4 linked regions of the Pelodiscus sinensis genome follow. The protein of the gene in region 1 purifies or fractionates together with the protein of each later gene. This does not show direct contact. Links are inferred from orthologs where the notes say so. Each region holds a gene or a part of one and is shown in the gene's direction. Other genes may lie near its edges. The genes, in order: NFKB2, FBXW7, CHUK and NFKBIB.

Evidence for each region.
Region 2: the proteins of NFKB2 (region 1) and FBXW7 purify together in Homo sapiens (affinity purification with mass spectrometry; 7 studies listed by BioGRID and IntAct, with this or other methods). This does not show direct contact. The link is inferred for Pelodiscus sinensis from reciprocal best matches to the Homo sapiens genes NFKB2 and FBXW7.
Region 3: the proteins of NFKB2 (region 1) and CHUK purify together in Homo sapiens (affinity purification with western blotting; 4 studies listed by BioGRID and IntAct, with this or other methods). This does not show direct contact. The link is inferred for Pelodiscus sinensis from reciprocal best matches to the Homo sapiens genes NFKB2 and CHUK.
Region 4: the proteins of NFKB2 (region 1) and NFKBIB purify together in Homo sapiens (affinity purification with mass spectrometry; 4 studies listed by BioGRID and IntAct, counting the BioPlex papers as one, with this or other methods). This does not show direct contact. The link is inferred for Pelodiscus sinensis from reciprocal best matches to the Homo sapiens genes NFKB2 and NFKBIB.

The regions. Positions count from the first base shown.
Region 1 is NC_134718.1:2,691,905-2,699,385, forward strand, and holds the start of NFKB2 (nuclear factor NF-kappa-B p100 subunit), read left to right. Parts: upstream 1-4,473; 5' UTR 4,474-4,482; coding exon 4,483-4,740; intron 4,741-5,611; coding exon 5,612-5,690; intron 5,691-6,046; coding exon of another isoform or gene 6,047-6,118; coding exon 6,119-6,159; intron 6,160-6,459; coding exon 6,460-6,558; intron 6,559-6,842; coding exon 6,843-6,994; intron 6,995-7,481. UniProt on the Homo sapiens protein: NF-kappa-B is a pleiotropic transcription factor present in almost all cell types and is the endpoint of a series of signal transduction events that are initiated by a vast array of stimuli related to many biological processes such as inflammation, immunity, differentiation, cell growth, tumorigenesis and apoptosis.
Region 2 is NC_134715.1:55,466,768-55,473,620, reverse strand, and holds the start of FBXW7 (F-box/WD repeat-containing protein 7), read left to right. Parts: upstream 1-3,845; 5' UTR 3,846-3,951; coding exon 3,952-4,107; intron 4,108-6,853. UniProt on the Homo sapiens protein: Substrate recognition component of a SCF (SKP1-CUL1-F-box protein) E3 ubiquitin-protein ligase complex which mediates the ubiquitination and subsequent proteasomal degradation of target proteins.
Region 3 is NC_134718.1:7,059,432-7,066,974, reverse strand, and holds the start of CHUK (inhibitor of nuclear factor kappa-B kinase subunit alpha), read left to right. Parts: upstream 1-4,543; 5' UTR 4,544-4,601; coding exon 4,602-4,724; intron 4,725-5,111; coding exon 5,112-5,206; intron 5,207-7,543.
Region 4 is NW_027465946.1:251,529-258,794, forward strand, and holds the start of NFKBIB (NF-kappa-B inhibitor beta), read left to right. Parts: upstream 1-4,261; 5' UTR 4,262-4,347; coding exon 4,348-4,685; intron 4,686-5,857; coding exon 5,858-5,963; intron 5,964-6,898; coding exon 6,899-7,127; intron 7,128-7,266. Other genes in the region: SIRT2 (NAD-dependent protein deacetylase sirtuin-2), read right to left, coding at 235-351, 1,272-1,320, 3,178-3,224, 3,735-3,750. UniProt on the Homo sapiens protein: Inhibits NF-kappa-B by complexing with and trapping it in the cytoplasm.

The DNA.
Region 1 (7,481 bases):
AGCCAAGCCACGGCCCGTAGGTTCCCCATCCCGGCTGTAAAGTGTCCCTAAGGGTATGTCCCAGGTTCACCCTGAAGATTCCCTCTGAAGTCCACCGGAGTCAGTGTCTGCCGGGAACCGCATGCCAGCTGGGGGAGTCCCTCTGTGCCGGCTGAGCGACAGGAGCTCTCCAGCTACCTTCCAGCCCTTCGCTCCCAGTGTCTGCGCAGGGCTGTGGCTTCCTGCCTGCAGCAAGCCCCTTGCTCGCCCAGGCCCAGCAGACGACGGGAGGCCGGTGCTTCCTAGAGGTGCTCCGAGTGGCGTTCAGCCTGGGCTCTGCTGCCTGGGGAGCCGACGGAAGCCCGTCCTGGCAGGCCAAGGGCTGGTTTGGCTGGAGCACAGGCAGTCGCCTTGGCTTCTCCCCAAGGAGAGCCTCTTGCAGTGAGCCGCAGGACGGCCCTGAGTCCGTGCTAGGCTAGCATGCTGGTCCAGGCTCCTGCAGCAGCTGCATCCTTTGGTCCTCGCACCCTGGTCCTGCAGGGAATGCTCCCAGGGAGCACACCTTGCGGAGGAGTGCAGAACAGGGAGCCTTCCCTGTCCCCTGGAAAACGCTGAGCACCGTTGTTCCGGGTGCCCAGGTGGGATCCTGCGGGGTCTGCCATGCTCCAGGACTTGCTGTTTGTCCTCCAAAGGGATCAGGCAATAACTGAGTCGAGGGTCAGCTTGGTGAACCTCCTGGGTAGATGGGGAGGTTACAAATACAGCAGGATGCTGGCAAATAAGAAATTAACTGAGCGCGACAAGCCGTCCAGGAAAGAGCAGTGGGGAGGAGGAGCTGGGTGCAGAGAGAGGAGAGGGTTCACCAGCTATAGCACAGGGTGGGTGCTCATGGGGCGTAGGCCTGCGTCCCCGGTCTCTGCGCCCCCGAAACACCGCGCTCTCACAGCAGACATCGTGTGCCCGGGCTGTGCTCCCCGCCCGCTGGGAGGAGGATCAGCTACGTGAGTCAGCATGTGGAGATGCTGCGGCAAAAATAGTACCTGTGATACTGGGTTGTATTGGTAGGCACGGCGAGCGTGAAATGTCAGCGGGCAGGTGGAAGGGGAGGTACCTACAGACAGTGTGTCTGGGGAACTGAGACCGGGGGCAGAAGATGGCCCATCAGGCACCGGCTGGAAAAGGATGCTGCTTAGGCTGTGTATCCTGCTATGGTTTTGTAGCCTCTTCTGTCCTGAAGGAATCCACGTGCTTACACAGGCTGCCTTGCTGAAATGCAGCTGCTTCTGGGGTGTAGCTCGGCTGCCCTGCACTTGCTTTCTCTGGAATAGCAGGTCTCAGTCTCTGGCATGTCTTCCTGGGCCCAAGGGATCTAGCCGAGCCTGAAGGGCCAGAGGAGACAGGCAACAGCTCAGCTCTCCTGGCACAGTGCAACTCTGTGCGGGAGCCAGGCTTTTCCAGAGACTGTGGAACAAACTCCCTCAGGCACTAAGGCCCATCCCAGACCCCGGTGTGCTGCTTTGCTCCCCTGCTCTAACATGGGAGTAGACGATGAGAAAATGTTCCAGAAGAACACTCTACGGGCACAGCCGCATGCCAGGCGTCCATCCTGGCCCTGGCTGCATTGCTAGGAGACTCTCTGTGGATTAAAACACCGGCTGGGGGAAATCCATTTCGCCCAAGGACATCGGGGCCTCCCACCCATGATCCTTCATGTCAACGCCAGGCTGCCTGGTCCCAAAGGCTCTGTGTTACGATGGGCTGGCCTGGATCTACCTTGTGCCCAAGGCGAGGGGCTAGGATATGCCGCCCGTGCTCTGTGGCCTTTGTGAGCTGCCGTGCGGCAGTGGTGGAGTCCCAGGGTTGCTTTGTGATGGGGTCTGCCAGGAGCCAAATAGCCCTGGTCCTCCTCAGAGTCCTCCTCGCATCCCCAGGGGTTCCTCCCGGGCGCCCCTCCCCGCTCACAGCATCTCTTCCTAGTGTCTCCGTGCCGGCAAGGTGGCTGGTTGGCAGAGCACGTAGTCCCGCTGCCCCCGGCCACGCATGCAGGGCAGCCCCTGGCTAGACTTTGAGCGGAGGGAAAATCTCCTTGAGAATTTTTTCCTCCCTTTGACTTCTGCAGAAAATGAGTCACTGCCTGTGCAATCCCCGTCCTACCCCTCGCTCTCCCCCACGCACCCAAAATCCCCACGGTGGGGCCTGCCGGCAGCCAGTGATTCATGGTGTGAGAGTGCCGAAGAGTGGGAACCGGGCCGCTGCCGCGGCCGGGGGAGAAGCCAATCTGGACAGGGACCGGGGGCTGCGCTGAGGTCCTGCCCTACCAGGTCCTGCCATTCGCAGCCCGGGGACAGGACTGGAGCCCTGTGGCTGGCAGGGGCTGAACGGGCCGTGGAGGCCCAGCCTGGGGAGGGGAGAGTCACTGGCACCAGCTGCCGCATCAGTCCGAGGCTTAGATCCAGGGCCTCAGTCCCTGTGCGCCAAGGCTGGCCTGGAGGCGACCTGTTCGGAGTCTCTCCCCTCCAGCTGCCCTGTTCTGTGGCCAGGGGGCTGGGTGCCTCACTGGGCAACCCCCATTCTGCTGCCATCTCTGGGGCGAGGTGGAAAGTGCTGCTCTCAGCCGGGCGGGCAGGGAGGGTCTGTGCCTGGTCCCGGGGGAGGGAGTGGCTGGCATTGGGGGGTATCGCTCGGCCCCCCGGGAATGGGGAGAGATGAGCAGGACCTGCCTTGGAAGAGGACTGGGGCTGAGGGACGGTCTCCGTGCTTGGGGGGCAGAGGATGGGGCCGTGGGCAGGTGGCCATGGAGCAAGGCTGCTTTTCTGTGCCCCTTAGCTCTGAGCACAGAGGATGTTGTATTATGCGAAGCAGCAGGCTTGGGGGTGGAGGAGGGGGCTGGGATGCTCTGGCTCAGAGGCAGTTGCATATACACACAGCAGGTCTAGCCGTCTGGTGTTGCGTTACCTCGCCAAGGTTTCTGTGTCCTTGGAGGAGCATCAGAAGGGGTTAATCCCTGTTGCCTTTCATAGCCAAGGATCCCTAAACACTTGGCCTCTGAAATGCGGCCACCTCTGGGGTGGAGCCAGAGGCCCACCTGCTGGAACGCCGCATGCCAGCAGGAGGGAGGCCGGGGCAAACCCATGACGCTAGAGGCTGGACCGTGGAATCTCCGGCCCAGCCTGGTGCTGGAATAGCGACTCAGAGCAGAAGCGAGAGTCGGCAGTGGGGAAAGCAAGCGGCCTGCCGGAGTTTCCGGCCCAGGGCAGGGCCAACCCCAGCTCTGCCTCTCCGCTGCGCCCTCCTAGTGACTGACTGATTGTGAATCTCTGGGCCTGGAGGTGAAAACTCCCTCTGTGTTTCAGAAGGGCAGGAAATGATTTGCATAGCTCGCCTAGCCCCGCCCCGGGGTCACCCACAGCCAGCCCTGGCATTGCTGGGAGTCGGCTGTGCTTCTGGCTGAGGGGCTTGTGGGGCTCCCAGCCTGGCAGTGACAAGGGAGGGTCCATGCATGGGGGGATGTGCGCAGAGAAGTCGGTATTCCGCACCGGCCTGCGGCTAAGGTAGGGGGGCACCAGGCGGGCAGGGGAGTCGGTGTGTGAACCGCGGGGTGAGTGGGGGGGGCTTGGCGAAGGGTGCGCTGGGGCCAGGGGGCTTGTGTGTTGCAGGGTCAGTGTGTCTGCTGTAGGGCAGCTGGGGGTGTAGGAAGGCTGGGGGCAGTGGGGGGGCTTTTCTGGCTATGGAGGGGAGTGAGTGGAGTGCTGCGGGGTGCCCGCAAATCAGGCAGCGGGGTGCCGGGGAGAGCGGTGCTATGGGGCAGGATGGGCAGGAGGGGTCTGGGGGGAGCGGTGCTATGGGGCAGGATGGGCAGGAGGGGTCTGGGGGGAGCAGTGCTATGGGGCAGGATGGGCAGGAGGGGTCTGGGGGGAGCGGTGCTATGGGGCAGGATGGGCAGGAGGGGTCTGGGGGGGGCGGTGCTATGGGGCAGGATGGGCGGGCGGATCCGGGGGGGCGGTGCTATGGGGTAGGATGGGCGGGGGAATCCTGGGGGGGCGCTGCTATGGGGCAGGATGGGTGGGGGAATCCTGGGGGAGCGGTGCTATGGGGCAGGATGGGCGGGGGGGCGGTGCTATGGGGCAGGATGGACGGGGGGATCCGTGGGGGCGGTGCTATGGGGCAGGATGGGCGGAGGGATCCGGGGGGGGGGGCGGTGCTATGGGGCAGGATGGGCGGGGGGGCGGTGCTATGGGGCAGGAGAGGTCTGGGGGGGGCGGTGCTATGGGGCAGGATGGACGGGGGGATCCGGGGGGGCGGTGCTATGGGGCAGGATGGGCGGGGGGATCGGGGGGGCGGTGCTATGGGGCAGGATGGGCGGGGGGATCGGGGGGGCGGTGCTATGGGGCAGGATGGGCGGGGGGATCGGGGGGGCGGTGCTATGGGGCAGGATGGACGGGGGGATCCGGGGGGGCGGTGCTATGGGGCAGGATGGGCGGGGGGATCCGGGGGGGCGGTGCTATGGGGCAGGATGGGCGGGGGGATCGGGGGGGCGGTGCAGGGCGCCGGGGTCAGGCCAGGTGGCGGCGGGGGGCGGGGCCAGGCGGCGGGGGCGGGGCCGGGGGCGGGGCCAGTGACGCGCGGGCCCGTCATTTCCAGCCCCGGGCTGGGTTTCTAGGGACTTTCCGGGCGGCCCGGCCCCAACTTTCCTCCCCCCCCAGGCCCGGCCCCGCCCCCGCCGCGCAGCCCGGCCCCGCCATGGACGAGCCCTACAACGCGGTGAGACCCGGCGGGGGGGCCGGTGGGTGCGGGGCTCGGGCCCCCCCTCGCTGTGCCGGGCGGGGGGAAGGATGGGGGGGGCCGGTGGGTGCGGGGCTCGGGCCCCCCCTCGCTGTGCCGGGCGGGGGAAGGATGGGGGGGCCGGTCGGTGCGGGGCTCGGGCCCCCCCTCGCTGTGCTGGGCGGGGGAAGGATGGGGGGGGCCGGTGGGTGCGGGGCTCGGGCCCCCCCTCGCGGTGCCGGGCGGGGGGAAGGATGGGGGGCCCGGTCGGTGTGGGGCTCGGGCCCCCCCTCGCTGTGCCGGGCGGGGGGAAGGATGGGGGGCCCGGTCGGTGCGGGGCTCGGGCCCCCCCTCGCTGTGCCGGGCGGGGGGAAGGATGGGGGGCCCGGTCGGTGTGGGGCTCGGGCCCCCCCTCGCTGTGCCGGGCGGGGGGAAGGATGGGGGGCCCGGTCGGTGTGGGGCTCGGGCCCCCCCTCGCTGTGCCGGGCGGGGGGAAGGATGGGGGGGCCGGTCGGTGCGGGGCTCGGGACCCCTCGCTGTGCTGGGCGGGGGAAGGATGGGGGGGCTGGTCGGTGCGGGGCTCGGGCCCCCCCTCGCTGTGCCGGGCGGGGGGAAGGATGGGGGGGCCGGTCGGTGCGGGGCTCGGGCCCCCCCTCGCTGTGCTGGGCGGGGGAAGGATGGGGGGCGGTCGGTGTGGGGCTCGGGACCCCCCTCGCTGTGCCGGGCGGGGGAAGGGATCGGGGGGCCGGTCGGTGCGGGGCTCGGGCCCCCCCTCGCTGTGCTGGGCGGGGGAAGGATGGGGGGCGGTCGGTGTGGGGCTCGGGACCCCTCGCTGTGCCGGGCGGGGTGTCAGGCTCCCCCTGTCCCGCAGTGCCTGGACGGGATGGACTACGACGACTTCCAGTTCAGCTCCCGCCTGATGGAGCAGAAGGAGCCGCTGATGGAGACGGGTGAGGGTCTGGCTGCGCGGGGGGGGGGTCAGGGAGCTGCCTGGCTCCAGGCCGAGGGGAATTCCCAGGCAGGCCCGGATCCCGGGAGTGAGAATTCCCGCTCAGCCGTGGGGAGCCTGGCTGGGCTGGTGATCAGTCCGCAGGGCCTGTCCCGCCCATTGGATCGCAGGGCTCCGGTGAGTGGGGGGGCCTGATCCATCTCCTTCCGCCTCAGCCCCCCCCCGTGCTGCTTCCCGGAGCACGCTCACCCCAGGGGCACTGTGGGGCCCCTCCCTGGCTCTGCTGCAGGGGGAGCGTGATCTGACTTCACCTCCAGCACTGACCCTGCCTCCTCCTCTCTCCTCTGCCCCCGTCAGCGGGTTTCCAGCCGTCGGCCCCGCGTGCAGGTGGGCGCGCTTCACTCGGTGTCTTTCCTTTCTCCTCCGCAGCCGAAGGGCCCTATCTCATCATCATCGAGCAGCCCAAGCAGGTGAGGACTCTGCGGGTAGCCGCCCCGCCCCCCCGCAGCTCCCGCCCCGCCCCCCCGCAGCTCCTGCCCCGCCCCCCGCACACGGCTGCTCCCGCCCCGCTCGTGGCTGCTCCCGCCCCGCAGCTCCCGCCTGCCAAAGCTGGGGTGACAGTAGCTGTAAGGTCCCCTGGCCAAGGCTCTCAACCTGTGCCCCCCGCAGTAGGGAAGGGGCGTAGGCGGTCGGTGTGGGCCTTTTTCCCAGTGGGGTGGGGCCCGGGGCCCTGGCTCTACCAGGCTGTGACTGGGGTTCTGGTTTGGCAGCGTGGGTTCCGGTTCCGGTACGGCTGTGAAGGCCCCTCGCACGGCGGGCTGCCTGGCGCATCCAGCGAGAAGGGACGCAAGACTTACCCTACTGTCAAGGTGAGTGCCAGGCAAGCTGTGCGGCGCGGCGCTGAGGTCCGGGGGTTCCCCGCAGCACCCCGTGTGCCCATGCAGGGAGACTGCTCCGGGGCCGGAGGTGGGAGGTGAACCTCCAGGGAAAGAAAGCTGGGATAAGACTGGCCCCTGTGCTGAGGGGCTTGCGAGGGTTTGGGGAGAAGGGGAATGCGACCCCGGGGGAGCCAGCAGTACAGGTTGCAGGCCCGTGCCCTCCCTCCTCTCCCCCGCAGCCAGGGAGGGCCGCTCACTCCCCCTTCTCCCGCCAGATCTGCAACTACAGTGGCGTGGCGCGCATTGAGGTGGATCTGGTGACGCACAGCGACCCGCCGCGGGTGCACGCCCACAGCCTGGTGGGGAAGCAGTGCAACGAGGCTGGGAATTGCATCGTGACCGTGGGCCCCAAGGACATGACGGCACAGTACGGACCGGGGGCTGGGGCAGGCCTGTGTGGGTACCGGGCGGTGGCCGGGTCGCTGTCGCGTCAGTTACACTGGTGCTGGGCAGGCACAGCTGCTGCCCTCAGCAAGCCCCTGCCGAGATCCCTCTGGCTGGTAGCTGGGCATCCTCTGCGGGGACAGACACGTATTCCCGGGGCTTCTCTTCTCCACCTCGGCCCCAGGAGCCCCCTTCCCAATGCCTCACCCGCACGGAACGGGCGCATCCGCTGACGGGCGTGGGAGACTCCCTGGCAAGCCTGTGCTCTTGCCGGGGCAGGCTGTAGCGCCGGGGGGGCCTGGAACGGGTGAGCTAATGTGCGAGAACCCCCCAGGGCGCTGCTCCTGGGAGAGCAGCAGGCGAACCCCGGGGGGCTCGTGGCTCTCCTGTACCGCGGGACGGGGCTGTGGGGGGCTCTCCTGGTCTCTTGCCCTAGTCGCGTGGTTGGCGACAGGCTGCCTGTCTGAGCC
Region 2 (6,853 bases), on another chromosome or scaffold:
TTCCATGTTTTTTGTTATTGTTTTTCCCCATTATTAAGTAATGGGCCTCCCTTGTCCTTGTCCCTTGTCCTCTTGCTTTTAATATATTTTATAGAATGTTTTCTTGCTACCAGTGTTTCTTGTTATGCTTCTAGTTAGTTTGATTTTGTTTTGTCACAGCTTTTCTAATTTTGCCCCTACATACTTGTGGTGTTTGTCTGTAGTCATTCTTTGTAATTTAGTCTAGTTCCCAACTTTTTGTAGACTTGATTTATTTTTTTTTAATTTTAGACCATTGAACATCTCCTGGTTAAGCCATGGTGGTCTCTTACTATACTTCCTATCTTTCTTACGTGGTGGGCTAGTTTGCTACTGTGGCCTTAATAATGTCTCTGAGAAACTGCCAACTGTTCTTCCTCTTAGACTTATTTCCAATGGGACAGAGTTTGCTAAACTCTTTCTTCTTAAAATTCATTCTTTATATTGCTAGTCTCACTCTTACTATTTGTTAGAATCATGAACTCATCATTTCATTATCACTTCCACCTAAACTGCTTTCCACTTTCAGATTCTCAACCTGTGCCTCCCTATTTGTTAAAAACAAATCTAGAACAGCTTCTCCCCTACTAGCTTTCTCTAGCTTCTGAAATTAAAAATAGTCTATAACACATTTCATGGAAGAGTAAGTTCTAGCTTAGCATGAAGTCCACCTCTGTTAAGAAAAGTATTACAATTCTGTGGTTGGATATATAAGTTGCTAGGGAATGAGATATTTGCAATAAAGCATTTTTATTACAGAACAAGATTAATGCCTTTTTAAATTACTAATATTAAAAACTATTTTAAAACTTTAAAACTGATAGAAATATTATAAGGGTGTTAAATTTGTGAAGTGGTATATCAATAGTTCTGGCATTTGCTTGCCTTACTATACATTCTATTGAAGAATAACTTGAAGGGTAACTCAATAAATTAGAGTTTGTAACGGGAAAGTGAAGGTCAGGTTGATCTTGTGCTCAATTCATAAAAAACAATTTTAACTTCAGCGGTAACTTGCCTTTGTCACAGTTAAACTATGTGCAAAATTACCAGTGTCAGGGTTTGGAGTGCTTACTTGTTTTCTGAATGTAGCAGTAACACTTTTCAGATAAGACAAAATCTGATTTTACACGTGAAAATATTTTATAGAATAGTTCAGTGCAAAAAAATTTCAAGTTTTCATCAGAATTAACTTCTATTGGAATTGTTTTTTCCTTTCCTGAAAACAAAATTCTGCAGTGATAGTAGTATTTCTCTAAACCATCTTCCTTTTGTCTCTTCTGGATCATTGTTCTATATATATCTGGTTTGTCTGTCACTGGCCCCATCTGTATGCGTTCTGAGAATCAATAGTACATTAAGGAAACTGACATGAGGAGGGAAAAATCATAAATAATGAATAACAGCCTTTACTGCTGGTGTTTCATTTCTTTTAAGAGGAATACAAATTCCAATGAAATGCTAGTGTATTTCACAACCATGTTAAACCAAAAATCTTTACCTAGCGCATTAGTATTTTATTATTTTTTGTTGTTGTTTAGAACTAACATTTTGTAATGTTTAATTATGTGCTGCCAAAGGAAAAAATAAGCTTTCCATTTATTAGAGGTATTGTGCACAGTTAGAATATTTTATTAGAACTTATCTGCAGTCTACTGAGATACAAAGGTTTTGTTTTTGACAAGATCTCTCAGCTTTGTAAGCAGTAGCATCTTCAGAAGAGAGATACTGTGGCATGAAAGACATGAAGTATTAATGGACAAAGCGTGATCCTTGCACTTCAATTCTGTGTATTAATTTTTTTCATTAGCTCTCTGCACTTCCACATCCTGCATATTGCTGGCAAGCATGCATCAGCAGTAAGACTTTCTTCACCAATGTGTCTGACATGTCTCTGAAATGTGACTGGTCAAAGCAGTAGCTGATTTTTAGATGTCGGTTGCTTTCAATCCATCTGAGTAATTTCACCTGATATTACTTTAATTTTTCGATATAATGTGCTCTTTCAATGAATAGACGTGTAGAATCAGCACAGGAAGAGCAAAGTCCTTGGCAATACCAGCTCAATTGCATCTGCAGATGAGGATTTAAAATTCTATGCAGCAGACAGTACCTCAAGCAGGCGAGTAAAAGGTTATAGCATTATTTTGCTTATTTGCATCCATAGTCTTTATCTATAAAAGGGGTTTTTATTCTATTTATAGTGCATGCTTTATATTTAGATACCACTGGAAACTGATTGAAAAGAAACATAAAATCAAAAGGGCAGAGCAAGGTGAAAGGGAGAGGCAATACTAGCTCAATTCAGCTTTAAACCTAGGAAGGGGAGGGAAGGAAGCGGTGGGAGCAGGAGAGAGCAAGAGACAGATTAAGCTTTCAGTGCAGTAAGAAAACTGAAGTTTTCTTCAGTGTGTGTGTGTGTGTGTGTGTGTGTGTGTGTGTGTGTGTATATATATATAAAAACACACACATATATATATATATATAAACATACACACACATATATGTTTAAGCTGCTTTTACGTCATCTACTTTTTTGTAACCTTTTGATAGGGGTGCTGTTGAATTAGACCAGCACTGATAGCTCTATAAATGCAAATGACACTTACTTCAAGTCATTTTATCCTGTAATCATTTTAAGCATTTGTGTTAATATGAACCCTTTTATTTCAGAAACCATATTGCTTACTTTAGTAAGCTGGTTAAAATGAAGTTTTTAAAATATTTGTAATGCTGGCATATAACAATATGCCATCACATGAAAAGGGAAAATCAGTATATGGTTCACTGATTTTATACCCTGAGAAACAGTCAAGTTTTTGACTGAGACCGAATTATACAGATGCAATTAGACAGGTAGAGAGTGTTATTGAGAGACCATATTTTGGTTTCAGCACATGAAATATTTTTGGAACAGACCTGGAAGCCTATGAGATATGACTACTCTTTTGAATTACTGTTGCTTTTCTGTGCAATTCTTCCTCTGAGCCAAAGACTTTGTGTAACTTTTTTTTCTCAAAGCTGCTTATCCTAGACAGTTCTATTGGGGATTGATAAGAGAAAGGTTATGTTTCAACTTACTTTCCTTTCTTGGTCCTCCTTTAGTTTAAATTTGTGTTTGTTTTTTTTCTTAAATGTTATCACAACTCATATAGGTTGGTAGCAGCCATTCTCATTTCTTTACAGAATTTTGTATGTTTCAGTGCAATCCTTTTGTTGCATACAAATTATTCAATTTACAATAAAATTAGAAAATATATATTGTAGAAAATCTATTGTAGAGTATAACAGGAAGACAAGTCTGTCATTCTTCTTGAATGTATTGACAGGTCCCTCTTGAACACTAGAGTAATAAAAGGTCAGTTGCTCTGATTGGCAGGTCAGCCTCCATCCAGTAATCCCTTCCCTGTTGTTGTTCTAAGCAATGCAACAGCAGTTCTTTTTTGAGATATTGAGCAGCTCTTGAATAGAGTGCATGGAGGATGTTGAGGGGTGTGGCTCTTTTCTGTTGGCTATTGGAATAGTGTGCACTTAGAGAAAGAACAGGTTGGATAGGCTGAGCCGTTAGAGTAGGTAACTGGACTTGAAGTGATGGAGAAGAACAAACTGTAGTGAGTGTGCAATTTAATGTATCTGACACCTTGAATCTATTCCTCTTAAGGTGCCTTTCTTCCTTTTATAAACCAGTTAAGAGCCTTAAAACATCTTACCTTGTAAAACTGTCTATATTTTACTGTTGAATTTTGCTTCGTGTTGGGACTCTGGCTGGCTTTTTTTTTTTTTTTTTTTTTGAGGAACACGTGTTTTGTTTTGTTTTTCTCCTGTTTATCAGTGTTAATTTCAGCCAGGGAACTGCAGAATGAGGCAGTCAGCCAATTTTGAGTATATATGGGAATGTACCAGTTCTGGTTTCTTAAGGAATAAAGTCATCTGATGAGCAAGTCAATGTGTGGATGTGGCTGCAGCATTATTTTTTCTTTAATGAAGAGGCTGGGCTGTTCGACCTGCTGCTCTGATCTTCTATCTTGCAGCCATACGTCAGACCAGTTACAGAGACTATCCACCGAATGTCCCAATCAACCAAAAAAGGTAACTATATAGATATTTATTTAAAATCTAAAATATACCATTAAATAGATGCATTATAATTTAGACTTACATTAAAAGAGAAATTTGAGCTGTTCCTAGCAGTTTTCTTGACCTTGCAGTAGCTATCCAATATCATTTTGCTATCATCAGGTTATGTAGCAATAGAAATGTGCTGCAGTAATTGATTTTGTAATAGGATCAGGTGATTTACTGGCTACAATGACAACCACTTGCTTGCTTGCTTGCTCTGAAACGTGGAACACTCTAATGGATGTTGTGATTGCAGCCTAGCGTTGCTTTGAAACTGCTGGATGCTTAAAGATGCAGTATCTTCTTTATGTCAAAATAAAAATTACTTTTAATGAAATTCTTCCCCAATGATATTATATGATAGAAGCATCTGACATCTTAAAATTTTAGATAATTTTTCAGTTTAGAGAAAATTCTCTATATAGAATCAGACGTCATCTTTATACATTTAACATGTAGCCTTTTTCTGGCAGTTATTTAATACATATTTTTCTTAATGTCCTTTACTCATTTCTTGAGAACTTGGCAAAACTAATGCTACTCTTTAAAGTACAAAGATAGAAATTATCTTTACCATTTTATCTACATGGGACATTGATGGGTAGGAAGCAAAATGCTGGCTCTGGTTGAAAATCAAACTAAACTAAACTGCAAAACTTCAGGTCCAGTTACGGATTTTACTGCATGGAAGTGACTATATATATCCCTGAAATTGAACCTGTGTTTTTATTTAAGTTTCTTATCTCTAAGATTTGTAATGCTGCTTTCATTTGCAAGGTACATTTGTGAATAAACAATATGTATAAGCACAAAATATGTCCCTATGTCTGATGCTGGTTTATATTTAGTCCTTTTCAGTCAAAAATTTTCAAAGTGCATTGTTAATATGTTTTTATTCAAGAATAAGCATACCTTTTTGTGGATACGTATTGGCTGCTATAGGACATTTATTTTGTGAGAGAGAGCTTAATAATTATTTCTGTGTTAAACATTCATTTTAACTTTTGTTATATTGTGCCTGTGCTGCACTGATAAGTAGAAAATAAGTACACCTATCAATGGGAAATTCCTGTATGAATTTTGAAGTCAGAGACAGATAAGTTAAAAGGTAACATGAATTGTGGATTAGTGTGCTAAAGTTAGGTGACCATGCAGTCACCTCAACCTGAAAATATCAGTCGGATCTGTATATTAAACAATCACTTGTTAAGATCAGGATGTTTTCAAGGTAATTTATAGAGTGCAGTGATTTAAATGTTCCTTCATTTAACGTTTTTCAGGGTTTATTTTATAGAGTAGTTGTTACTTAGGTCACAAATAATACCCCATACATAACAATTTTACTCTAGAGGGAGATGGCACGATTCACTCTATTTTGTGTCTCTAAACCTCGTTGATATAGGGATCAGGGGTCATTTTTTGAAGTTAAAATATAGGTTGAACCCCTCTAGTCTGACATCCTCAGGACCTGACCAGTGCTGAACCAGAGAATTTGTCAAACTGTAAGACAGATCTACTCAACACATGGCCCATTTGTTTGCAGCCCGTGAGGGGGTTGGGTTTACATGGGGCTCAATGTGCGGCCTGCAGGTGAGATCGTTTGAGTATGGCCTCCCCTGGGAGCACGCTCCACAATGGCAAGTCAATTTAATGGTCTTCTGTTGATATGTGTTTTAGTAGTTAAATTCCTGGACTGTCATTGCTCATTAAAAGTGCTGTCATATGCGTGGAAATGGGGTAAATATTGCATTTTATCAGTATCAGTAGAACTGATTTAAATGGGGCCTGTGTGCTGTGTAGTCTTGCCTTAATCTTTGTATTCATGCCCATCAGTGTGAAAGAATCTGTTTACGTATATTTGCATATATATTTGCGTGTATATGCAACCCGCACTTATGTTGCAGCCTTTGGCATGTGCTGTGAGTATTACTGTGTCTCTCAGCTACTCAACTTTCCAAAGTTGAGTAGCCCAGCCATAGGAGGTCAATATTGTCTAGCAGCGTTACCAACACTTCCACTGCTTAACTGGGCTCTTAAAATACATTTAGGAGTAAATTAGAGCTAAATAACAGCACAGAACACTGAGAGCCAGGCCTAGTTGCTATAAACAGACTTCATGGGATACTTTGTCACACCCGTGATAAGTGGACGTTCTGCTAATTAAAATCATGTCGGACCATGGATGTTGCCAGACCAGAGATTGATGGACTAGAGAGGCTCAACTTGTACCTGAATATATTATACTTAAGTAAAATATTTGGGAGTAGAAGAGTTCAGCAGTTGCAGGTGTAAAATTTTAAAGAGCGAAATTAACTTCAGTAGGAAAAAACAAGTACAGTAAATCTCCAGTTGTCCAGCATCCAGTGGTCCGGCACTCCCAATATTCCAGCACCAACTGGAACCCGGAAGTGCTCCAGCCAGCTGGACAATTGGAGCTGCTGGCGGGGAACGGTGTGGCAAGGGGCGAACCTTTTGTCATTTTGCAGGAAGGCAGGGGAAGCCCTGCGCCGCCGCCGAGAGTTCCCAGCCCCCATACTGCAGATGTTATCGCCGAGCAGGGGGGTGAGGGGTGACGCTGCGAGACCAACCCGGCAGCACCCCAGCTGCTCTGTGCTGCTGCTGCTGAAACTGACGAGCGGCCAACAAGCGGTGGAGCAGAGCAGCTGGGGTGCTGCTGTGTTGGTCCCGCAGCATCACCCTTCACTCCCCTGCTCGG
Region 3 (7,543 bases), about 4.4 Mb from region 1:
CTCAGGGGCCAGGTTTTGCTGAATTGATTATGGAAGGGAGCATTGTGGTGGTTTTCTGCCTGGCGGATCTGTGACAGTGTCAGAGCGGCCTCACCCTACCACAAAGAGTATAAAGGAGAAGGACTGTCATGAAAACTTTTCCAGAACTTCTAGTTTTCAGTTATTCTTCCATCTCCTACAAGGCAGACCTGCCTCATAAGTTTAAGTCTGTAGAGACAGGTGATCTGTCTCGTGTGATGAAAAGCAGTGCTGAGGGGTGTGCAAGCCCCAATGATGGATTTATTGCCTTATCTACTAGGAGAATAGTATGGTTTGTATCTCTTTCTCATTATGTTGTCCATCGCCAGGTGATTCCTGTACACTCACTGTTGAGATACTGAAGACATTAGAATCCTTTATTGTACAGGTGCAAGAATGACAAATTGAATTACTAGAAATCCCAGAGCACTTGGATATCCAGCAAGTAAGAAACAAGATTTTCACTTATTTATTTAATCTTAATCCTTTTTAGTTTGCCATTTCATTAAAAAATATCCTTACATGACCAGAGTTAAGTTGTAGGCATTTTTATTGGAAGATACTGTAGGACTGCTATAGGGTAACGGTAAATAAAAGGTTAGAAGTCAGAGAGAGCCGGACTTTTCTGTGGTGGGTGGATATAAGAAAGAAGTCTTTGTTGGTGTGCCAGTCATGTCTCTGAGATCAACAGAATTTGTTGTTGGAAGAGCAGGTGCAGCTTTATTTGCTTCAGTGGAATAGTACCAGTTTATGCCAGCTGACTAGCTTTTGGGTTCCCTTGTCTGGATAGAGCTTAAATAGTTCCTGCTCTTCTTGTTGGATCAATAAATAACTAGCAGCAGACTAGCTTGCTGTGTCCTTCGGACCCATTACTCCTTGGAAACCACATCTGCGGCAGAAGTAGGGACAAGCTAAAAAATAAAGTCCATGTTTTCTTTTAACTCCGACACACGGTGGTTTGACTTCATGCAGCTGCCTGATCAGCATTACACAGAGAAGAAGCCTGATTTCAAGCAAAGTTGAGTCTTTACTCGGTCTGGCTCAGAGGGAGCTCCGGTGAGGAAATGGGAACAAAAATATAAGACTTCATAAAGCAGCTAGATTCCATGAATAAAACCAGACAATGAGTATCAATAGTGGGTTTTTTTCTAGTATAGGAAGTTCCTGGTCTTCCTGAAGAGATGATTGGGTAGCTTCTGGGCAGTGGCACAAATATGTTTGCATGACTATTTAAAGGAATGCAAGAGTTTAATACCCCCTGTGCACTGGGAAGCATAAGGGCATGATTTTCAGCAGGCTGAGATGTGCAAATTCATTATGCTTTTACTTTGGTTTCAGCATACAAACATAAAGATGCTTCGTGCTGGGAGCTCAGGCCCTCTGTGGACAGGGGCTGCCAACACCCTTTGGTGCTACCTCTGATGCAGTGTCAACAGTGCAGAGAGGCAGGTGGGAGCTGTTTTTTAAACCAGCTCTCTGCATAGACCAGTTTCTGCCTGCTGACCCATGCTGCTGCCTCTGCATTAGAGGCAGCAGCACAGTGTGGCAGGCAGCTTCCCTGCGGGCTCTTCATTTAAAACTCGGACCAGTGTGTTGGGACTGAACCAGCCTGCTGGTGCAAATTTTAAAGGGAGGGAAGGAGAGAGAGAAAGAGAGAGTGTTTGTGTGTTGTGGTTAATTGGGACAGGCAATTGCTTATAGATTAACAATCGGGTAAACAGTTATTCGGCTTAGACACTAACATCCCTACTTGTGGCTTGTGTGGCTCAAGGGGAGTGAAAACACTCATAATAATATCTCTGTGCATTGTGCTTTTTGCAGCTGGAAATGTGGCTTTGAGGGTTCCTCCATCCACACTACTGGAGCAGCTCAGATCAGGAGAAGAAAAGGGATGTGGGGTCAACCTGTTCCAAGAGATCCTGCCAGCCTCTGGTGCTGCACACACTGAGTAGAGGGCTTGCAGAAGCACCTTTGTGGGGCGAGTGGAAAGGGTTAGTGCAGAGAGGAGAAACAAAGAAGAAAAGGACAGAAACGTGCAGCAGTTCATGTTAGCGCGCTCAGCGCCAGACGGACATGTTGGAGACTTCAGGTGCAAGTAACCCTGGTTTGCCTCCCGTTGCAGTCTATTGATAACTGCATTCTGAGACCTCTCTACACTTCCTGCCCCCACATTCTCCACGTGTTTCTGTGCTACTGCAGTTCTACCACATCACCCTGAGGGAGAGTACACGCAGTCAGAACTGCATATATGCTGATGAATGAGACACATTGTGTGTGTGACATGAGAATGGCTATTCTTTCCCCTTCAAAAGTTATTTTCCCTGTATTTGTAGAGTTTCATTCAGTTACAGTTATTTTTGGTTTTATGAGTTTGTAATAAAAGTCTATTTATGAAAACTTAATTCTTTAATTCACATCCTATGGTAGCTGGGCCTGACATTGCACAATAATAGCACTTTGTGTATTTGCAATGTTATATTACCATCTTGCCTCTTGGGCCCAAACCTATGAGCCTTCAGTACCCCAGTTTCACATCCTAAGTTCCCCTCAGTGAGTCTCTTTGAACTGGACTCTTGGGGAAAACTTGCACACCCAAGTGGAGCAATGCACCCCTAAATTCCTTAATCTGGAGTGACTTTCAGACAGTGTTGTAAAAAGCAGAAGGATTTATTAATAGTCAGGAACACAATGAAGAAAGTCCTTGGTAAACAAGGGAACAGAGTTACAGGAAAGTCCATCCGGGTTGGTCCTGAATCCAAAGCTCTCTCTGACCCCTCCTGAGTCCCAGTCTGCTTCCAGGTGCTTCCCTTGCAGTTTGGAAAATTTGTTTTTCCTATAACTTTTATCATGTTTAGCATAAAATATATATTTGATATACCCATCAGAGATGCACTTTTACAGCAGTTCAGAGGGGAGCTGGCATTAAGATATTGGCTTAGAAAAATGATGAATTACTAACTTAAAGTAAATGTTTAGTAAAATAACATTAAGCTCTTTAAGAGCTTATTTGTGGCTCTTGGTCACTTACAAAAGAGGAATATATATTTAAAGATGAGGCAACTGAGGGATTGAAATGTGAAGTCACTTGCACAAGGTTGGGCAGCAGCATGGCGGCAAAAACAGAACACATCTCCCGACTCAGTCCTGTCTTTAACCAGAAGCCCCTCCTTTCTTTTGTCCATTTGCGGAATGAGATCTGGAGTTTCATATTTGTGGAGATTCCATGTGCCTCCAGTTATTTATCTATATAGTGTGTCCAAATTACTAGCCACCGTTAGGTAATATACAATTGTACTTAAAATGAAGAGATGAAGGCAGTGATGCAAAACCATGTGGCTACGTCTAGACTGGCATGATTTTCCGCAAATGCTTTTAACGGAAAAGTTTTTCTGTTAAAAGCATTTGCGGAAAAGAGCATCTAGATTGGCACGGACGCTTTTCTGCAAAAGCACTTTTTGCGGAAAAGCGTTCATGCTAATCTAGACGCAGTTTTGCGCAAGAAAGCCCCGATTGCCATTTGCGCCATTGGGGCTTTTTTGCGCAAAACAGCTTTTAGCTGTCTACACTGGCCCTCTTGTGCAAAAATGTTTCTGGAAAAGGGCTTTTGCCCGAACGGGAACGTCAAAGCATTTGCACAAGAAGCACTGATTTCGGACAGTAGAACGTCAGTGCTTTTGTGCAAAATCAAGCAGCCGGTGTAGACAATTGGCAAGTTTTTCCGCAAAAGCAGTTGCTTTTGCGGAAAAACTTGCCAGTCTAGATGCAGCCTGAATGTATGGCATCTGCGGTAAGGTAGTGCTGCCTAGTTTACATTTCATTTTCCATAGTAAAATGACTTTTAAAAATGAAAAGTGAGGACTGCATCTGAGTAGCCCTAATTGTACCTTTATGAAGTTTTTGGTTACTTTGTTCATGAAGGGACTTGGCAGAATTTGTTTTTATTACAATAAATTTTGACACATGTTTAATTAAGGCAATTTTTTAGATTCTTACCTATTTAAGTTTTAAGTTAAAGGAAATTATGGGAGGGGGTCAGACAGTTATTTAATGACAGACACATTTATAAAGCACTTTGCCTTGTAAACACACGCTGTCCAAACTATAACAAGTACCCTTAAATGGCGTGGCATGTTCCTGAGTTGCTGCTTCTCTGTAATCTGGGGCTGTAACTGATGCAGATGTTTTTTCCAGCTGTGGGGAAGCTGACAGGCTCTGATACAAATCAAGTCCTACCAAGCCTACCCGGGGGGAGGAATGGGTGGCGCTGCCCCCCCCCGCAAAGCTCCCGCAGAGCTCTGCTCCAGGCGCCACGCGCAGGGCACGTGCTGCAACACATCCCCGCCCCTGCAGGGAGGTGAGGCCGAGGGGCGTGGCTCAGCCGGGGAGGCGTGGCTTGATCTGCATGCGGACCGCGCGCTCCCTCGTCGCTGTCGGGTGGGCGGGGCCACGGGCTCCCGCACGCGCCTCGGCCGTTGGCGAGGAGGAGGGGCGGGAAGCGCGAGCGACGCCGTTCCCCGCCCCCGCCCGGCGGGAAGTGACGCGCGCGCTGGTTTCCGGGCGAGCGGCCGGGGCCCGGGCGAGGCATGGAGCGGCCCCCGGTGGGCGCGGCGCTGCGGGGGCAGCCCGCGGGCAGCTGCGGCCCCTGGGAGATGCGGGAGCGGCTGGGGACGGGCGGCTTCGGCAACGTCTGTCTCTACCAGCACCAGGTGCGGGGGGGCGGCGCCGACCCCTCCCCCCCGGGTTCGCCCTGTCAGTCGCCCCGCCCCCCCGGGAGCCCGGCCCGTCGCTGCCGGGTCACCCCGCAAAGCCTGCTGGGTAACCCCTCCCCCCCCCCGCTCACTCTCCTCCCAGGGGCTCCTGCCCCCGCACCGCCACCCGTGTGCAGCGGGGGGGGGGATCTGTGTGGAGGGGGGGTATTTGGGGCTGGTCACTGGGATCAGGCTAATGGATTGACCCCCCCCTTAACCCCCCCTTGGCCCCCTCCCGTCCCCCAGCTTTCTGGCCCGACACTGACCCCCCCGCACCGTGCCCTTCTGCTCCAGCCTCTTGCAACCCGGCTGGGGCCGCAGCACCTGTGACTGTTTGTGTTGCAGGAGCGGGGTGACAAGATCGCCATCAAATCTTGCCGGTTGGAACTCAGCACCAAAAACAAAGACCGGTGGTGCCATGAAATCCAGATAATGAAGAAGTAAGTAGGTTGCATCATGGCCTTGTCTTTTGCTTTTGGGAGGCAGTGTTCTCAGATCCACGGGGGAGCGTTTCCCCTTCAGAGATGTCACTAGCTACAGACTTCTTTCGGTCTTATTCACTCTCAAGCTTCAGGGGGTAGCCGAGTTAGTCTGTACAGGGGAAACTTAAAAAACAACAAATAGTCTGGTAGCACTTTAAAGACTAACAAAACATGTAGGTGGTGGTGTGATGCCATCTACATGTTTTGTTAAACTGCAACCAGACTATTTGTTGTTCTAAAGAAGGTTATCGTTAGCCTCCAGGGAAAGAGCTGTATTTTAAAAACAGTTTTACACTGATACCATAAAGGGAAAACACTGTAATTATGATACATTTAAAAAGCTCTTCTTTTCGTGGTCTTGCAGTTTGATGGGAAAACTACGCTTGGCAGTGAGGTGTGTCTGTTTGCTCTTGGCACAGAAGTGAACATTGTGAGACGGGTTCATAGAAATACTTTTGGCGGTTTTGCATTTTGATTACTTTAATATCAGAGAGAACATTGAGAGGTGACTTGATCAATGCATCTAGGCACTAATAAACACAAAAGGGAGCTCAAAATGGATTTTTTTTAAACCTGGTAAACAGAGAATGGGGTCTTAGAGCTGGAAGCTGAAATTGGACAAATTCAATCCTGAAACGAGACAAGGTTTCCTAGCATTGGAACAGTTTACTTGAGAAGTGGGGCAACTACCATTGTTTGGAGTCTTAAAAAAATCTTGTCGTACTGACTGCCAGATTTGGGGTCAGGGAGGATGGTATGGGGTATGGTTCACTTTCAGGGGTCATATGGCCATGGCTAACTTAATCAGTAGAGCCCTGTGGGGATACAAATATCTGTCTGTGGATGCACATATCTGCTGATCAACATTGGCATATGTTGACCTGTAGAGCTCTACTCCCAAGAGGCACTGTAACCAAAGAGAGGAGCATGGTCATCTTGTCATTCCCAGAAGCCAGTGACAACAACTCCTTCCTGCCATGTGGCTGTACTGTCTCCAGTACCACCCCTAGCGGGGCTGTAGGACCTCAGACAGAAGATGGCAGGGTTGGGGGAGGGGGCGTACAATCACACTGCTGAGACGAGCTGCTGGCGCAGGGCACTGGCTCCTAGGAGCAATGGGACCATGGAATCATAGAATACTAGAACTGGAAGGGACCTTGAGAGGTCATCGAGTCCAGTCTCCTGCCCTCACAGCAGGACCAAGCCCAATCTAGATCATCCCTGATAGTCTATCTAACCTTCTCTTAAATATCTCCAGTGATGGAGATTCCACAGTCTCCCTAGGCAGTTTATTCCACTGTTTAATCACCATGTTCTTCTCCTTTAGTCACACTGCCTCTTGACAGTAGAGCCCTTCAGGTCAGCAGATACTGATGTCTATCCGCAGATATCTGCATCTGTGGAAACATTTGTGTAGGCATAGGGCTCTACTAATCAATTTCATGCTGTTGAAGGGGCCTCCTGCATTTGTGCCACCTCCATCTCTCCCATCTGCTTGTGGGTCACAACAGTTTAGTTGAACCCAAGTCATTGGACTAAATATAAAGGTAACGAGGTGAAACTTAATGGCCTGAATTTGAGGCTACGATTGTCATGGAGGTCACAAAATCTGACTTTTTTGTGACCAGTGACATTTTTTCATTTCAGCCCTTGGCAGCAGGGGACCTTCCCAGTTCCTAGCTTTAGTTTAGCTCTAGTTCATATGTTAGTTTCATCCAGGATGGAATATTCTTTACTGCTGGGATTTGAACCCAAAACTCTTGTCCCACTCCAATCCTTAGCCTGAAGATTCTTTCGACTCATCCATGATCTGCCTATTCTTAGAAAATCTGAATTCTGTTTATTGCCCCTGGGTAACTTACTGGAGTAAACTTGTTGACAATTATGTGCTGGCCATCATGCTTCTAACATTAAATGTTTTGGGAAAAGAAATCTTAGGCTACACAGCAGCATTATTTTTGAATAATGCAGAGCACTTCTACACAGGAAGTCCGTTATTTTGAAATAAAATCGAAATAATAGGCTTCTTACTCCGACTTTGATAAACCTCATTGTATGAGGAGTAAAGGAGGTCGGGGAAGAGTGCTCTATTTCAAAATAACTGCTGTGTAGACAGCACTAAAAGTCGAAATAAGCTATTTCAACTTAAGCTACTCAATTAGCAAAGCTCAAGTTGTCGTTTATTTCGAGTTTAGCACTGCTGTGTAGATGTGCCCTCTCTGTCTTCACATTTGAAACACATTTTATTGATTCATCTGCTTGTTGATCTTCTGAAATACCTGTATCAAGATTTTC
Region 4 (7,266 bases), on another chromosome or scaffold:
GGGTGGGGTGTACGAATGTGTAAGTGACACCTGTGCCCCTGCTTGTAAGTTACACCAACATGGAGTCCCTGCCACATCCCTTGGTCTGCTCCAGGCCTGCCCCTAGACAGCCCCGCTAGCCCACAGCCTCTCCCTCAACCCCTTTCCCTTCCCACTGTGAGGGGGGAAATCAGGATGAGAGTCGCTCTGGTTCAGTCTCAGAGCAGCTGCCTCCCAAGAGGGGACCCAGCTTACACTTCTCACTCAGCATGAAGCGGCTCACACCATCTAGTGTCAGCTCATCCAGCACCTTCTCCGGTTTCTCACTGCCCAGGCCCAGCGTCCGGGACAGGAGATTTCGCAGGAAATCCACTGAAAGGGAGAGGACAAGCAAAGTTAGCTGTGTATTCCTGGGCTCTGGTCCCAGCTCTGGGAAGGGAGTAGGGTCTAATAGTTAGAGCAAGGGGACTGAGAGCCAGGAGGCCTGGTTTCTAATCCTAGCTCCACGGATTTGCTGAGCAGCCTTGGGCACGGCAGTTCTCGTCCTCGAGCCTCAGTTTCCCCCTCAGGACTCCATTTCCCAATGTCACAGAAGGAGGTCGTTTTGAAGGTTAGTTAATATTTAGAAAGTGCCTTGAAGACTTAAAAGGGAAAAGAGGGTGTGTGAGTGCACTGGGAACGACAGGAGAACCCGGCACGGACGGAAGGGCCCATTGTTTAGGTTCAAGGCACAGCTCTGCAACTGACTACTCGTGCGAGGAGTCGCTGGGGCCTGGCGTATGTTACACGCTTCAGTTGGCTGGGGGTGTTCACACCCGCTAGTTGACACAGCCGTGCTTAGCAGAACCCGCAGTGCAGACAGCAGAAAAGCGTGCCTGTCTGTTTAAATAACGTCTTTTGCAAAGGTGGTGTCACCGGACTGGCCTCAGTTTCCCCTTCTGTGGCACTGCCCTGCCTCCCAGGGAGTTATGGGAACAAATATGTCAGAAACAGAGGCTTTCAGAAACTACAGCGACAGGGGCCTGAAGATAATTGAGAAAGATTATTCAATCCCAATTCCAGCCACAGACCAATTTTTGCCTCGAAGCCCGGACAGAAAGAGCTGGTTTAACGACAGATGATTTACCCCTATTCACGTTAATCACCTGAGGCATTAGGCCCCCCTGAGAGGAAGGAACAGGGATAGATTGACAGACCCAGCAGGCTCTCCCAGGCTCTCCCCTGTGTATCATGCTACTCGGCCGCCCCATGCTCCCCATCCCTTCCCCTACAATACAGCACAAGTTACCTACTTTCAGACTCTCCAGAAGCACCACCGTTTTCCGAGTCAGAATCAGAGTCCTGAATAACAGAAAAAACACACAAAGATCAGACAGTTAAGTTCATAGGTTAAGTAAGCCAGCGTTAATGCAGCCAGTTAAGTAAGCCAGTGTTAACGCAGCCGGTTAAGTTCATAGGTTAAGTAAGCCAGCGTTAACGCAGCTGGTTAAGTTCACAGGTTAAGTAAGCCAGCATTAACGCAGCTGGTTAAGTTCATAGGTTAAGTAAGCCAGCGTTAATGTAGCCAGTTAAGTAAGCCAGTGTTAACGCAGCCGGTTAAGTTCATAGGTTAAGTAAGCCAGTGTTAACGCAGCCGGTTAAGTTCATAGGTTAAGTAAGCCAGCATTAACGCAGCTGGTTAAGTTCATAGGTTAAGTAAGCCAGCGTTAACGCAGCCGGTTAAGTTCATAGGGTAAGTAAGCCAGCGTTAATGCAGCCGGTTAAGTTCATAGGGTAAGTAAGCCAGCGTTAATGCAGCCAGTTAAGTAAGCCAGCGTTAACGCAGCCAGTTAAGTTCATAGGTTAAGTAAGCCAGCGTTAACGCAGCCGGTTAAGTTCACAGGTTACGTAAGTCAGCATTAACGCAGCCGGTTAAGTTCACCGGTTACGTAAGCCAGCGTTAACGCAGCCGGTTAAGTTCATAGGTTAAGTAAGCCAGCGTTAATGCAGCCAGTTAAGTAAGCCAGCGTTAACGCAGCCGGTTAAGTTCATAGGTTAAGTAAGCCAGCGTTAATGTAGCAAGTTAAGTTCACAGGTTAAGTAAGCCAGCGTTAACGCAGTCGGTTAAATAAGCCAGTGTTAATGTAGCTGGTTAAGTTCATAGGTTAAGTAAGCCAGAGATAACGCAGTCGGTTAAATAAGCCAGCGTTAATGTAGCTGGTTAAGTTCACCGGTTACGTAAGCCAACGTTAATGTAGCCGGTTAAGTAAGCCAGCATTAACGCAGCCGGTTAAGTTCATAGGTTAAGTAAGCCAGCGTTAACGCAGCCGGTTAAGTTCATAGGTTAAGTAAGCCAGCGTTAATGCAGCCGGTTAAGTAAGCCAGCGTTAACGCAGCAGGTTAAGTAAGCCAGCGTTAACGCAGCCGGTTAAGTAAGCCAGCGTTAACGCAGCCGGTTAAGTAAGCCAGCGTTAACGCAGCCGGTTAAGTTCACAGGTTACGTAAGTCAGCATTAACGCAGCCGGTTAAGTTCACCGGTTACGTAAGCCAGCGTTTATGCAGTCGGTTAAATAAGCCAGCGTTAATGTAGCAAGTTAAGTTCACAGGTTAAGTAAGCCAGCGTTAACGCAGTCGGTTAAATAAGCCAGTGTTAATGTAGCTGGTTAAGTTCATAGGTTAAGTAAGCCAGAGATAACGCAGTCGGTTAAATAAGCCAGCGTTAATGTAGCTGGTTAAGTTCACCGGTTACGTGAGCCAACGTTAATGCAGCGGGTTAAGTTAGCCAGCGTCAATGTAGCAGGTTAAGTTCACCGGTAACGCAGCCCGTTAAGCCGTCTTCTGTGTTTTACTGGCTAGTGTTAGAAGCATCTGTGTCTGTGGCAGGATCCTCTGAGGACTGGGACAAAGGCAAACCAGGACTCCTGGGTTGTGCTGCAGGAAAGGGGCCTGGTCTCCAGATACAGCAGGGAGATGGTAGAGGAGCCAGGCCTCCTGGGTTTTAGCCCCAGCACTGGGAGGGAAGTGGGGTGGGGGCTCTCGGGGTCTGTCCCTGGCCCTGGAGGCGAATGGGGTGGAGCAGGTTAGAGCAGCGGGCTGGGGGCCAGGACTCCTGGTTCTTTTGCAGGCAGGCTGTGGTGGGTGGCCGCTCGAGAAGAAGGGAAGGGGTTAGCAGAGAGCCCCCGCACTGCAAAGGGAACCCGAGCTGCGCCCCCTACTCACGGGAGAGTCCGCGCCCCGCTCCGCCTCGCGCCCGCCGGGCCCCGCAGCTGGGACAGCAGGGAGAGAAGAGACCCGAGTTGCTGGCGAAAAGGGGGAGGGAGGCGCGCTGCTATGGGGGGGGGCATTGGGGGATGGGGGGGGCTGAGCCCACGGGGGGGGCGTTGGGGGATGGGGGGCGTTGGGGGATGGGGGGGCTGAGCCCGCGGGGGGGGGGCGTTGGGGGATGGGGGGGCTGAGCCCGCGGGGGGGGGGCGTTGGGGAATGGGGGGGGCTGAGCCCGCGGGGGGGGGCGTTGGGGGATGGGGGGCTGAGCCCACGGGGGGGGCGTTGGGGGATGGGGGGCGTTGGGGGATGGGGGGGGCTGAGCCCGCGGGGGGGGCGTTGGGGGATGGGGGGCGTTCGGGGATGGGGGGGGCTGAGCCCGCGGGGGGGGCGTTGGGGGATGGGGGGCTGAGCCCGCGGGGGGGGGGGCGTTGGGGGATGGGGGGGCTGAGCCCGCGGGGGGGGCGTTGGGGGATGGGGGGCTGTCCCGGGGGCGGGGCTATCCCGCTAGTCACCGTCCCGCTCGGCCATGGACCCCGGCGCCCGCCCCGCTCGGCTCCGCCGGACCCGACTGCGGCAGGGAAACGGGCCGCCCGCTCGGCAGAACTACATCTCCCGGCGTGCCCCGCGCCCCCGCCCCGCCCCTCCTCCCGGCGTGCCCCGCGCCCCCGCCCCCGCCCCGCCCCTCCTCCCGGCGTGCCCCGCGCCCCTGCCCCCGCCCCGCCCCCCCTCCCGGCCTGCCCCGCGCCCCTGCCTCCGCTCCCAGCCTGCCCCGCGCCTCCGCTCCTCCCGGCGTGCCCCGCGCCCCTGCCCCGCCCCGCCCCTCCTCCCGGCGTGCCCCGCGCCCCTGCCCCCGCCCCGCCCCCCCTCCCGGCCTGCCCCGCGCCCCTGCCTCCGCTCCCAGCCTGCCCCGCGCCTCCACTCCTCCCGGCGTGCCCCGCGCCTCCCCCCTCCCAGCGTGCCCCGCGCCGCTGCCCCGCCCCTCCTCCCAGCGTGCCCCGCGCCTCCCGGCCTGCCCCGCGCCCCTGCCCCGCCCCGCCCCTCCTCCCAGCGTGCCCCGCGCCTCCCGGCCTGCCCCGCGCCCCGCCCCGCTTCCCGGCGTGCCCCGCGGCGGGCGCTGGGGGGGCCATGGCGGAGCCGGCGGGCGGGGCCACGCGGGCCGAGGCGGGCGAGGACGGGGACTGGTGCGACAGCGGCCTGGGCTCGCTGGGGGAGGGGCAGCTCAGCCTAATCCAGGAGGGCCTGGCCGTGACCTCTGACCCCTGCCCCCCGACCCCCGACCCCGCGGGCGGCCCGGAGCGGCCGGACTCGGCGCTGGGGGCGGCGGAGGAGGAGGGGGGCGGGGCGCTGGGGGCGGTGACGCGGGGCCTGGGCTCCGTGCGCGTCGCGGACCCCCCGCCCGGCCAGGGCCCCCCCGAGGCCTGGCTGCGCCACGTGCTGCGCTTCGTCACCGAGGACGGGGACACGTAAGTGGGGGACCAGCCCCCCCCGGGCCTGTGCCCCCTCCGAGCCCCGCCCCCCCGGGCCTGGGCCCCCTCCTAGCCCCGCCCCCCCGGGCCTGGGCCCCCCCTCCTAGCCCCCCCCCGGGCCTGTGCCCCCCCCCCGGGCCTGGGCCCCCGTCCGAGCCCCCCGCCCCCCCGGGCCTGGGCCCCCGTCCGAGCCCCCCGCTCCCCCGGGCCTGGGCCCCCGTCCGAGCCCCCCGCTCCCCCGGGCCTGGGCCCCCGTCCGAGCCCCCCGCCCTCCCGGGCCTGGGCCCCCATCGAGCCCCCCGAGCCCCCCGCCCCCCCGGGCCTGGGCCCCCGTCCGAGCCCCCCGAGCCCCCCGGGCCCCCGTCCGAGCCCCCCGCCCCCCCCGGGCCTGGGCCCCCGTCCGAGCCCCACCTCTCCCCCCCCCCGGGCCTGGGCCCCCGTCCGAGCCCCCCGCTCCCCCGGGCCTGGGCCCCCGTCCGAGCCCCCCGCTCCCCCGGGCCTGGGCCCCCGTCCGAGCCCCCCGCCCTCCCGGGCCTGGGCCCCCATCGAGCCCCCCGAGCCCCCCGCCCCCCCGGGCCTGGGCCCCCGTCCGAGCCCCCCGAGCCCCCCGGGCCCCCGTCCGAGCCCCCCGCCCCCCCGGGCCTGGGCCCCCGTCCGAGCCCCACCTCTCCCCCCCCCCGGGCCTGTGCCCCCGTCCTAACCCCCCCCAGGCCTGTGCCCCGTCCAACCCCCCCCCCCCCATCCTGGATTCCAGGCACTTGGCTTGTGCCCCGTCCAACCCCCCCCCCCCCCCATCCTGGACTCCGGGCGCTTGGCTTGTGCCCCTGTCCTAACACCCCCCCCTTCCCCCCCCGCCCGGCTGCCTTGATATCTCAGTGCTGTCTCCATCGGCCGCGGCCTGCAGTCCCTGGTGTCCAGTTTCTGGGATGCTTTAGGCATTAACTGTAGGAATTCAGTCACTGTTGGCAGCTATTCTATTGCCCACACTCCCAGGAGTTTTACACCCACCTGGTTTCCCTGCTGCACCCCCAGCTCCTTGCTACTTGCTCTTTGCTGACTAGATCGATTCCTCTTCTTGCTATTGCTTCCCTTTCATGGGTGGCATTTCCAGCCAGTTGCAGGGTACTTATTTATTTTGCTTGGAGTGGTGTCTGTTCTTCCATCCCCAGAGCCCTCCACTTGGCTGTGATTCATGAACACGAAGCCTTTCTGGATTCTATCCTGCAGTACACGGCCGGGACGGAGTACTTGGATCTGCAGAATGACCTGAGCCAGGTTGGGCCAAGACTGGAGCTTTTTCTGTCTGTAGTCTCTGGCAATTGCAGTGGGGAAACTGAGGCACAAAGAGCCACATTGGTTTGCCTGAACATTGTACAGCCAGTTGGGGACAAAACTCGGGAGTAGTGGCTCCTAGTCAGCTTCCTACACGATATCGCCCATGCCACCTCCTGTAGGGAGTGATTGGGTTGCTGGCAGGAAGATGAAACACAACCACATATTAATTCCTCTGCATCATAAATGAGTTGGGGGAGCAGGGAAGAGTGTTACGGAGCACAGCAGTCTTTCTGGAGCAGGGAGCTATCCCTCGCTTTGTGTCTGTATAGCATCTAGCATGCTGGAGATGCTCCTGCAAGCAACTGATAAATGAGACACTAATATCCAAACACATCTTCCCCTGGATCCCCTGATGGCTACCTGTTCCTTCTCTCTGGCGCTGGCCACTGTCGGAAGACAGGGTGTTGGACTAACTGGAGCTTTGGTCTGCTCCAATATATGGCCGGGGAATGTAAGGAAGGCTGGGGAATTGACAGTGGCAGTGGACCAAAGTAAACGGGGCCAGGGAGGGCTTTGTTTAAAGGGTGTAAGGTGGTCGCGCTCATGCCAGGCAAATCAGCTGCCTTCCATGTAGCTCACGGTGCAGAGGAAGGACAAGACCGTGTCGGCTCCTGTGCCTGGGTAGTAGAGACAGCTTTTGTGTGAATAGTCGTGTCCTTGACTAAAATTTCTGACCTGCTTGTGCAATTGGCCACTGCCTGCCTGCCCAGAGGTGGCTGCTTTTCAGCGCTGCGTCTGGAATATGGGGTGTGACGCTATTAGGGTGACAGCCCATGGAAAGAAGCGATCTGTAGTGGTGTTAGTAGGCCGGGCACTTTTTAGGGAAGATCAGCCACAGAGCTTTCTGACCTGTCTATCTCGCTGACCTTCCCCAGACGGCATTGCACATTGCAGTCATCCTCGGTGCCTCCAACTTTGTCCGCAAGCTGATGGCAGCCGGGGCAGGGCTCTGCGTGCAGGAGAAAGGCGGCCACACGGCGCTGCACCTGGCATGCCGGGAGGGCTGGCGGGACTGTGCACAGTGGCTCTTGGCATCGTTGAGCATGCGCAGATCCTGTGAAGGGAGTGACGCCAGGGCTCAGTTGGACTGCACCAATTATGATGGTATGGAGCCTCTCGTCACCCACCTGGGAGTGTTACACGTGGGACCTTTGTCCTGAGCATGCTGTGTCCTTCCCCAGCCAGCATGGCCAGAGCTCTCTGTGGCCCAGTTACCCTCCATTTCCCTCAAGGCTGTGAAGGG